Linked DNA regions of Coturnix japonica. The protein of the gene in region 1 interacts with the protein of each later gene in a biochemical or structural test. Links are inferred from orthologs where the notes say so. Each region holds a gene or a part of one and is shown on either strand. Other genes may lie near its edges. The genes, in order: KIT and PTPN11.

What was found.
Region 2: the proteins of KIT (region 1) and PTPN11 form a complex in vitro, tested with the Homo sapiens proteins (3 studies listed by BioGRID and IntAct, with this or other methods). The link is inferred for Coturnix japonica from reciprocal best matches to the Homo sapiens genes KIT and PTPN11.

What each region holds. Positions count from the first base shown.
Region 1 is NC_029519.1:58,930,697-58,934,963, reverse strand, and holds the start of KIT (mast/stem cell growth factor receptor Kit), read left to right. Parts: upstream 1-1,432; 5' UTR 1,433-1,540; coding exon 1,541-1,607; intron 1,608-4,267. UniProt on the Homo sapiens protein: Tyrosine-protein kinase that acts as a cell-surface receptor for the cytokine KITLG/SCF and plays an essential role in the regulation of cell survival and proliferation, hematopoiesis, stem cell maintenance, gametogenesis, mast cell development, migration and function, and in melanogenesis.
Region 2 is NC_029530.1:5,551,151-5,554,960, forward strand, and holds part of PTPN11 (tyrosine-protein phosphatase non-receptor type 11), read left to right. Parts: intron 1-1,818; coding exon 1,819-1,915; intron 1,916-2,481; coding exon 2,482-2,561; intron 2,562-2,685; coding exon 2,686-2,844; intron 2,845-3,810. UniProt on the Homo sapiens protein: Acts downstream of various receptor and cytoplasmic protein tyrosine kinases to participate in the signal transduction from the cell surface to the nucleus. Positively regulates MAPK signal transduction pathway. Dephosphorylates GAB1, ARHGAP35 and EGFR.

The DNA.
Region 1 (4,267 bases):
GTGTATCCTTTTCCTTCTACAAGAAGAAACCTGGAAAATCTGGAGAGCACTAAAATGTTAAGTATTTTGGCCATTCTGTTTTCTCTGCTTATAATTAATTTGATGAGGCAAGCACCCAGTGAGAGAGATGAGTTTAAAAAGATGTTTGATTTTGAAACTGTCAGAGCGCTAACAAAAATGCACTCCGTTTTGCAGCCAGGGAAGGATTCACCCATCAAAAGAGACTGCTGTCAGAGATGAAAGAGAGCAAAGAAATGGAGAGAGCCATTTTAAACATATAAGACAAGACTTTCATCTAATGGGGGACCATATGGGACTATGCTATTAACCTTGAAAAAAATCTGACAATAGTGAAAAAGGAAAGAAGTTGAGAAACAACACACACACACACACAAAAAGGGAATAATTTACCTTCAGTAACTTTTCTGATCTGTACTGCCATGTTTCACAACATCTACATCTATGTTTTTCCATGGGTAAAGGCTGTGTCATGTGTCCACTCCATCTTTCTGTACGGTGGGAGCTGCTGCCAGGTGTGACAGCCTGCATGATCCATCCCCACTTGTGTTTGCACACACCTGGGCAGCACACACCACATGTGTGGCACTGACAGACACAGCAGAGCCAAGGCATTAGTTGCTGCAATTTGTACGGTTTCTGCCTGCAGAGCTCTGCCTCTCTAGCTGCATATGCAAGTGCTACTGGATCCTCCCTGTCAGTTGTCTCACCCGTACTTAAAAAACTCCCTCTGCGGGTTTCCACCACCTCCTCTGCTCAATTTGTAGACTAAATTCGCCCTACTCTTTGCAAGTGCTTTCCTAACATTTAAGCTATTCCTTTTTCTTTTTGCCGAGAACTAAATGGATTACTTTTATCTTGCCCTTGAGGGACGTGAAAAACAATTGCTCGCAATCCTCTCTGTAAGAACCTTTTCCACGTTTAAGCTCCCTGTCAGCTTTCTCTTTTCAATACCAGTTCTTTCCATCTTTCCTTTTGTGTCGCAGGACATGCCCTGCATCTCACTTTTATACTCTGCCCGATGCATAGCGCCGGGTCAGCTCCATGCGGGTCCAATTCGCGATCCCCGCCGGGCAGAAGCACCGTCCACTGAGGCTCTGAGTGCGACACAAAGCGCTCTGCACCCACCTTTCGGGGGATGCATCCTTCTCCCCCGAGCCGTGCGCCCACCCCCACGCACCACGAAGCCTCCTCCCTTCCTTAAATATTATTTTATTTGGGTGAGCGGGTGTGCGCGCTGCTGGTTGGGGGGGAGGTAGGATTAGGCTCGCTCTTTTCACCGCCCCCTTCGCCACCCCCTCGAGGGGCAGCTCCTCACCTGCGCCCATCCCGGCGCTGCGGGGCGGGGGCCGCTCGGCGCGGCGCGGGGCGGGCAGCGGAGGCGGGGCCGCTGTTGGCGGCGGGGCCGGCAGTATTCCGTACTCCGTATTCCGTACTCCGCAGCCTCCCGCGGGGTTCGGGCATCTCTGCGCGCCGGGTGGTGCGAGCGGCAGCCGCGGAGCGGCGGGCTCGGGGGGGCGGCATGGAGGGCGCGCACCTCGCCTGGGAGCTGGCGCACGCCGTGCTGCTGCTGAGCCTCATCCCCGCAGGTGGGAGCCGCGGGCGGGCGCGGGGCAGCGGGGCCGGGGGAGGCTGCAGGGAGCGGTAGCGGGGCCGGGGGGAGGCAGCCGGTTTGGCTGGACGCGAGAAAAAGAAAAGCAAAAAAGAAAGTCCTTTGTTTGTGCGGCGCGGGGCTGGGAGGGGGGCCGGGAAGGTGCACACCCCCTGCTCTCCGAGCTGGGCTGTTTTGACAATAAACTCTCTCTTCATCGGTACAAAATGTCCCCGTGGTGAAGTGCTGCTGGAACAATAGGCGGGGGGCGGCCGCCGCCGTCAGGTGTCCGCGCTGCCCGGCGGGGCCGGAGCGCGCCCGGGTCGGAGCGGAGCCGCGTCGTTTCATTACAGCCGCCTCCAGGAGAAGGGTCCCCTGTCCCTTCAAGGGCACTGCGGACAAAAAGTTTGGTGTGTCTCTTGATGGACTCGGGGTTCCCTTCCCTGCAAGCCGGAGATTCCCGTTCCTGAGTTTCTTAAGTGCAACACAGAGCTGCGGCGCTGGATGGGTTCGCACATGGCTTTTGGAGCGGCCGTGCTGCTTACAGCACAGTGGCGCCCGAGGAGCACACGCAGCGCGGAGGGCGCGCAAGGTGTATTTCTGAGCTGTCAGCTCAGCGAGTGCTGGGGAGGTGCGGAGGGATGCCGGGCGCCGGGAGCCCACAGCGTCTGGCTTTGGTGTGAGCGCTTTGCCTGTGACGCGAGGCAGTCGTGGAGCTATCAGCGTTTCTGTGAATATTTTGTTTGGGTGATGTTCCTGTTTTGCTTCCCTTTGTTGATGCTCGCAGGTAGAGCGTGATTGCTGACGGTTAGAGCTTTCCTGTTCAGAGTATCCACACGCATCCGCACACACAGCACAGCAAAGGAAACACCCATCAGGGGGCTATTCCTTGACATTTGTCTCTGGAATGGGTTGCATTCATTCATTAATACCCACAAACTTTCCTTACTTCGAGTACTTGAGCATGAAGGTTTCCCTTCCTCTCTCGGTTGCCAGCTGGCATGAAAACTTGGGCAACTGTCAGTGTCCTAGAAGTCATGGGAGTACGTTGGGCAAGGAGAGACTTTCCTCTCCATCCTTCCTCTGGTTCTGGGTCTTTTGTGGTTTTGTAATTCTTGTTGTCGGGATTCCACATCAGAACATCATACAGAACAGTGGCAGTTAAAAGAGTTCATGTTCTGGTTCCGTGTTACATTTTGGGGCATTTTGGGTTCCCGGAGGGGAGGGGAGGGGCGGCATCCCCGGAGGACTTGGCACAAAGTGGAAGTGGGGTGGGACTCCGGACCGGACCCCAGCCGCTCTCTGCCTCTGGCCGTCTCAGCTCGCCGCGGAGAAAAGCACGTGCTTCCCTCGCACTGTCGTGGTTTGACTCGTACTTTGGGGACTTAAGTCTCTCTCGTTTTGTCTGATTTGGTTTCATTTAGTCAATCACCGTTCCTCCTCAGATCGTTGCCATTGTGTTTTCTCTTTGTTAAAACTATCTGCTGGCTCTCTGCCCTTCCCCCTCTCCCGGATCGGGTGGCTCGGGGCGACCGGGTCACAAGGCAAACTCTTTCCTTTTTTTCTTCGTTCCTTTGTCTCCTCTTTTTTATCCTTTTCCCCCCCTATTTCCCGGTCCTGTGCCCCCTTGTCATGGACTTACATCTAGAGATAACCCCGTGACAGGGTCAGACTTGTACCTGTGGGAGATGTGCCACCTCGCAGCCACATAAGACTAAGTGGTGTAGACAAAAATACACGGTGATGCAGGTGGAGGGACTTGCAGAAGACAGGTGCTTCTGGGTAGATGTGTGTAACACCTGTTTATCACACAGGTGTAGGATATTAGAACTAGCTTTGAGCTGCAGGAAGCATCACAGCGGATGCTTGTGTCCTGTTGAGGGGACACCAGAGGTGACAGGGAGGGCAGAGCTGTGGGACTGCTCCTGTATGTCCTTGCAGACACTTGGACTGGGTGAGCTCTCTGTCGTGTTGTTTACTCGTATGCAAACTTATATTAAGTATCTTTTCTTGGCTTTTAGTCAAGAGCTTCTTCTTTTGGTTGCAGATAGGAAAGGAGGATGTAGAAAACAAAGCTTTAAGTAACTTCTCAGAGAGTAAACCATTCATCTCTTCTATCCACAGCTCCTTCCTATTTTTTGTTTTCCTTGCATTTGCTTCCACCTTTCCTTCCATCTGGGGCTGCAGTTTTCTGTAATGATCTCTTCTATGTTCCTCTCCTGTCCCCTTAGGGCTCTCCCTGTCCCCAGTGCTCCACCAGAGGCTGTGCGGTGTTTCCATCCTATGGCCATGGAAGGCTGGGCAAGGTTCCTTTCAGCATCCATCAATCTCCCCTTTTGGCAGTCAGCTGCAGAGTAACAGGAGGCTCTCTTTGCCCAGAGGGAAGAATGTCTGTTTCCATAATGCTTCCCATACCTGGCAGCTGGGAGGGAGGACTGATGGAGGAAGATGGAACCTGGTGTGGGTTCATATGCTGTCGCTTAGTCACTACCCTGACCCCTCAGATCATCCAAATATCCTGCCCTCCCTGCTCCCCCATTTCTTTCTTCCTCCCTCTCCTGCATATAAATGTGGCCTAAGGCCACTGCCAAGAGCAGAATGGCGATTTCAAGGATTGCTCAATACTTGACTCTTTTCCTTCCGTTACAACCCGGAACC
Region 2 (3,810 bases), on another chromosome or scaffold:
TAAATTACTTGTCTTTAGGCAGATTGAAGAATGTGCCTCTTGTCCTGTTAAGTGTCAGACAGAAATGTTGACAGTCTTTGTAACACTTCTGGAAAGTGACTGGGGAGCTTTGTGTTTGAATGGCACAGAGAAAGTGAGGACTCCTGTACCAGATTTATTGTTGCATTGTGTACCTCTTGTAGCCAGCTTGCTAGAAGTCTTTGCTGCTCGTGGATCTTTCCTCAGGGATGCTCAAAGCAGTAACCATTAAATGTGTGAAGTAAAGGTGTTTGAAGCTTGTTTCAACACAATTATTTCCATGTTTTAACCTGCTAGCAAAGTTCAGCTTTTGGTTCTTTGCTTGGCGTTTCACTTTGCAGAGACTCAAAAGTGTTAATATTATATAAAGGCACTCTGTAATAATGGCAGTTAAAAGATTTTTGCATTATGGCAAGAGTTGGGCTTAATGCAGACAAGACATGCTTTATGGGTATACACATTCTGTGCTTTATGTATGTGAAACCTCACAGCTCTGTTTTGCTTTTGTTCTTTGGATTCCCTGTCTTTAGGATGAGCTTAACTGTCCAAGGTCACTAAGTGAGGTGGGAATGATAACACAGACTGAAATAGAAGTGAGCAAATGTGCCTGACATGCCTGAACTTTGAAGTAAAAGTAATCTGTGGAGGAATATTAAGGTGATCTTAGTGAAGAGAGCAGCTTTCAAAGGCAGAGTGTTTCTTTTAGTCAGACCAAAACTGCTTTTGAGATTAAAACTTGGAGCAAAATCACTGAGGTCGTTGTCCCCTTTGCTTCATTGCAAGTACGTGGATTTACTACTAAGCAGTGCTGCTATGAGGTATGGAATTACTGTTGTCCCTGTCATTATTAATTGGGAACCAGACACTGAGAAATTAGGGCCTTGCCAACGGGAAAAATCCCCATGCAGATTTATTGCTTCTGCACTAGGATGATTTATGGATAACCATGTAGGTAGTTACCTAACACCTCCCCAATCCACCAGCATGGTAATGTGAGGAATCTGAGAAAAATATGTTTGGCTGTACAGGCTTAGTGAGATGTTCTTGTGTCAATGGGAGAAAGGGAGTCACGTTTTGCTCCTGGGTGTATTGACCCATTCCTATTTGTCAGCCAGTTTTGTAGCAGCTGTGTCTGTGAAAAGGATTCACTCAGAGGGTTAATTACCTTTTCTATGAAAAGTAAGGCACAAATTACAAAGTACTGTTGTTGCACTCAGTGCTAATTTGCTTTCTGGCTTTCGAATGCCATATGTGCGTTTTGAATATTCTTATCCTATTGTGGTTTGAAGGGAATAGGAAAGAATATCTTAATATTATGCTTCTAACAGCTGAAGGTCTTCTCACTTTCCTTGAAGCTGAGACAGCTGCTTATGTTGGTGTGCTTTGGTGGGTTTTCTGTAAGCTCCTTCTTCCCCTTTGGCTGCCTGGAGATTATCTGGCTGCAGCCTGCAAGGATCTCAGGGATGTGGTTTAGGGGCTTTCCAGCGGCACTGCTTTGGATTGGCAATAGCTGAAGGAGGGGAATAAAGCTAGTAAGGCCTAGAGGAATCCAGTACAGCTCAGGTAGAGAATCTTGACACCTGTGTTCTGTTTGTGTCAGTGCCTTTTCATACTTTGAAAGCAATACTGTATGTAGCCTGAATGGAGTAAACCAGCGATTCTCTGACTGTTGATTGTTATTATAATCAAGTGTCCTCATTTGAATGAGGGACGGATCTCTATAGTGATGAAACATTATAACAGGTCTTTGTCTTTTTTGTGCTTTTACTGACACCAGTTATTCGTGCTGTTTTTGTGCAGACTTTACAGCAGCAAGAATGCAAACTCCTCTATAGCCGTAAAGAAGGTCAGCGACAAGAAAACAAAAACAAAAATAGATACAAAAACATTTTACCCTGTAAGTACTGATTTCTTGTGTAAGCCTATTACTTTTGTGCTTTATTATTTTAGCTGGAAAAGACTGGGTTAATTTAACATTGTGCTTTTTCTTCTCTTTAGTGGTAAGTCCTTCTTTTATGTTGTCAGTATTAGTCCATATAGCTTCCAGTCTGTGTTCAAACATTTACTCATTATAGTTGCAGATATTTTGATTCTGTAATGTTTATCTGCAGCGTTCACTTAACAGTTTAGGGATATGATGCTTTCATTTGGCAAACTGAAATGCTTACAGTTAAGAGGATTAATTTGTGGTACAGAACTGAGTAGTGCAAATCCAGCAGTGTTTGAGACCATTTGCGTTGATTCAGATAAACACTTGTTTTGTGATCTATGTTGTTATGGATTGGAAACTTGTTTTAAGTAACAGAAAAAGGGATGGGTGTTCTAGCAGTGATTTGCAGAGTTTCACAATGTAGCACTTTCTGATAACAGGAAGAATTGTACCTGTTGGTTGAATGTTTAAAAATAGCTGTATGCTCACAATTGTAGGATGCAACTGCTTAATGTATAAATATATTCTTCCAGTTGATCATACCAGAGTTGTTCTGCATGATGGTGATCCAAATGAACCTGTTTCAGACTATATCAATGCTAATATTATTATGGTAAGTATGCCCCACCTAAATGAGTCTTGCAGGCACAACCTATGCCTACTTACTCTTTTAAATCCAAGTTGGTCTTCTAAAAATGAGCATTTGTCTCCATTTCTTAAATTGTTTTTGTCTCTAGCCTGAGTTTGAAACCAAGTGCAACAACACAAAGCCAAAAAAAAGCTACATTGCTACTCAAGGTTGCCTGCAGAATACAGTGAATGATTTTTGGAGGATGGTGTTTCAGGAGAATTCTCGAGTTATTGTTATGACAACAAAAGAAGTTGAAAGAGGAAAGGTAAAAACAATATTATACTGGTCTCTGGAGCAGTCATAACATTTGTGTGCAAGTGGGATCTAAACTGACTTGGTTATATTGACTCACATGCTGAAATGCAGTGTGCCATCATGGTCTTTGGATACTTGCAGCTTAATTCTGTAAGGTATTGAATGTTCTTAATTGATGCCTGTGGGAATTGAGGATGCACTCCTATTGCATCACAAGACCTCCCTTTTGTAAGGGTTGTCTGATTAAATTCTAGCTACTGAATGTGAATCATTGCATTGTGAGAATACTCAGGGAATGAGACACTGGAAAGCTGGGTGCTGCAGTCAAATATTCTGCCTATTTGAAAAGGGATAAATTCCCTGTTCATAAAAGTTGAATACTTTTTTTTTTTTTTTTTTTTGCTGTGTGCTCTGGCTGTGTACAATGCTTTTATGTCTGGTTACTTAATCAGCGATAGGGAAAGAATGGCAAAAGTAACAACAGCAAAGCATCTTATGCTGTATCTTTTATTGGCAGAAGAAGCTTCCCTTGTTCCCATATATTCTTGTAAATCTGCACTAGGTGCTGTTAATAAGAAATATTTTTCTATGGTATTTGGTGCTTGGTCTGTTTGCTGTTGCTGGAAGCTGCATCTGTCTTCCCCACTATATTTCTCATCTAATTTTGTGTTAGCCTTCACGAGGCTAACAGGAGCTGTTGTTGCAGGAACCAAATTAAAGAAGTAATAGGTTAAGCCACCCTTCAGTGTGTAGAATACATCCCTGGCCAAAGATAACCTTGAGAGAGAAGCAGCATGCTGAAAGCTCTAAATGTCGAAGCCTACAGATGCATCAGGCCGTCTGTCAAAGGGAGCAGTTCTGTGTTGCTTTGGTGATTGAATTAGAGCTATGTTAGCCCGTTTTTTCCCTGATTCTAAGCAATGAAAAAGCGAATGTCCAAGCTGCATTCCTGTTAAAAATGATTTATATCTTTGAC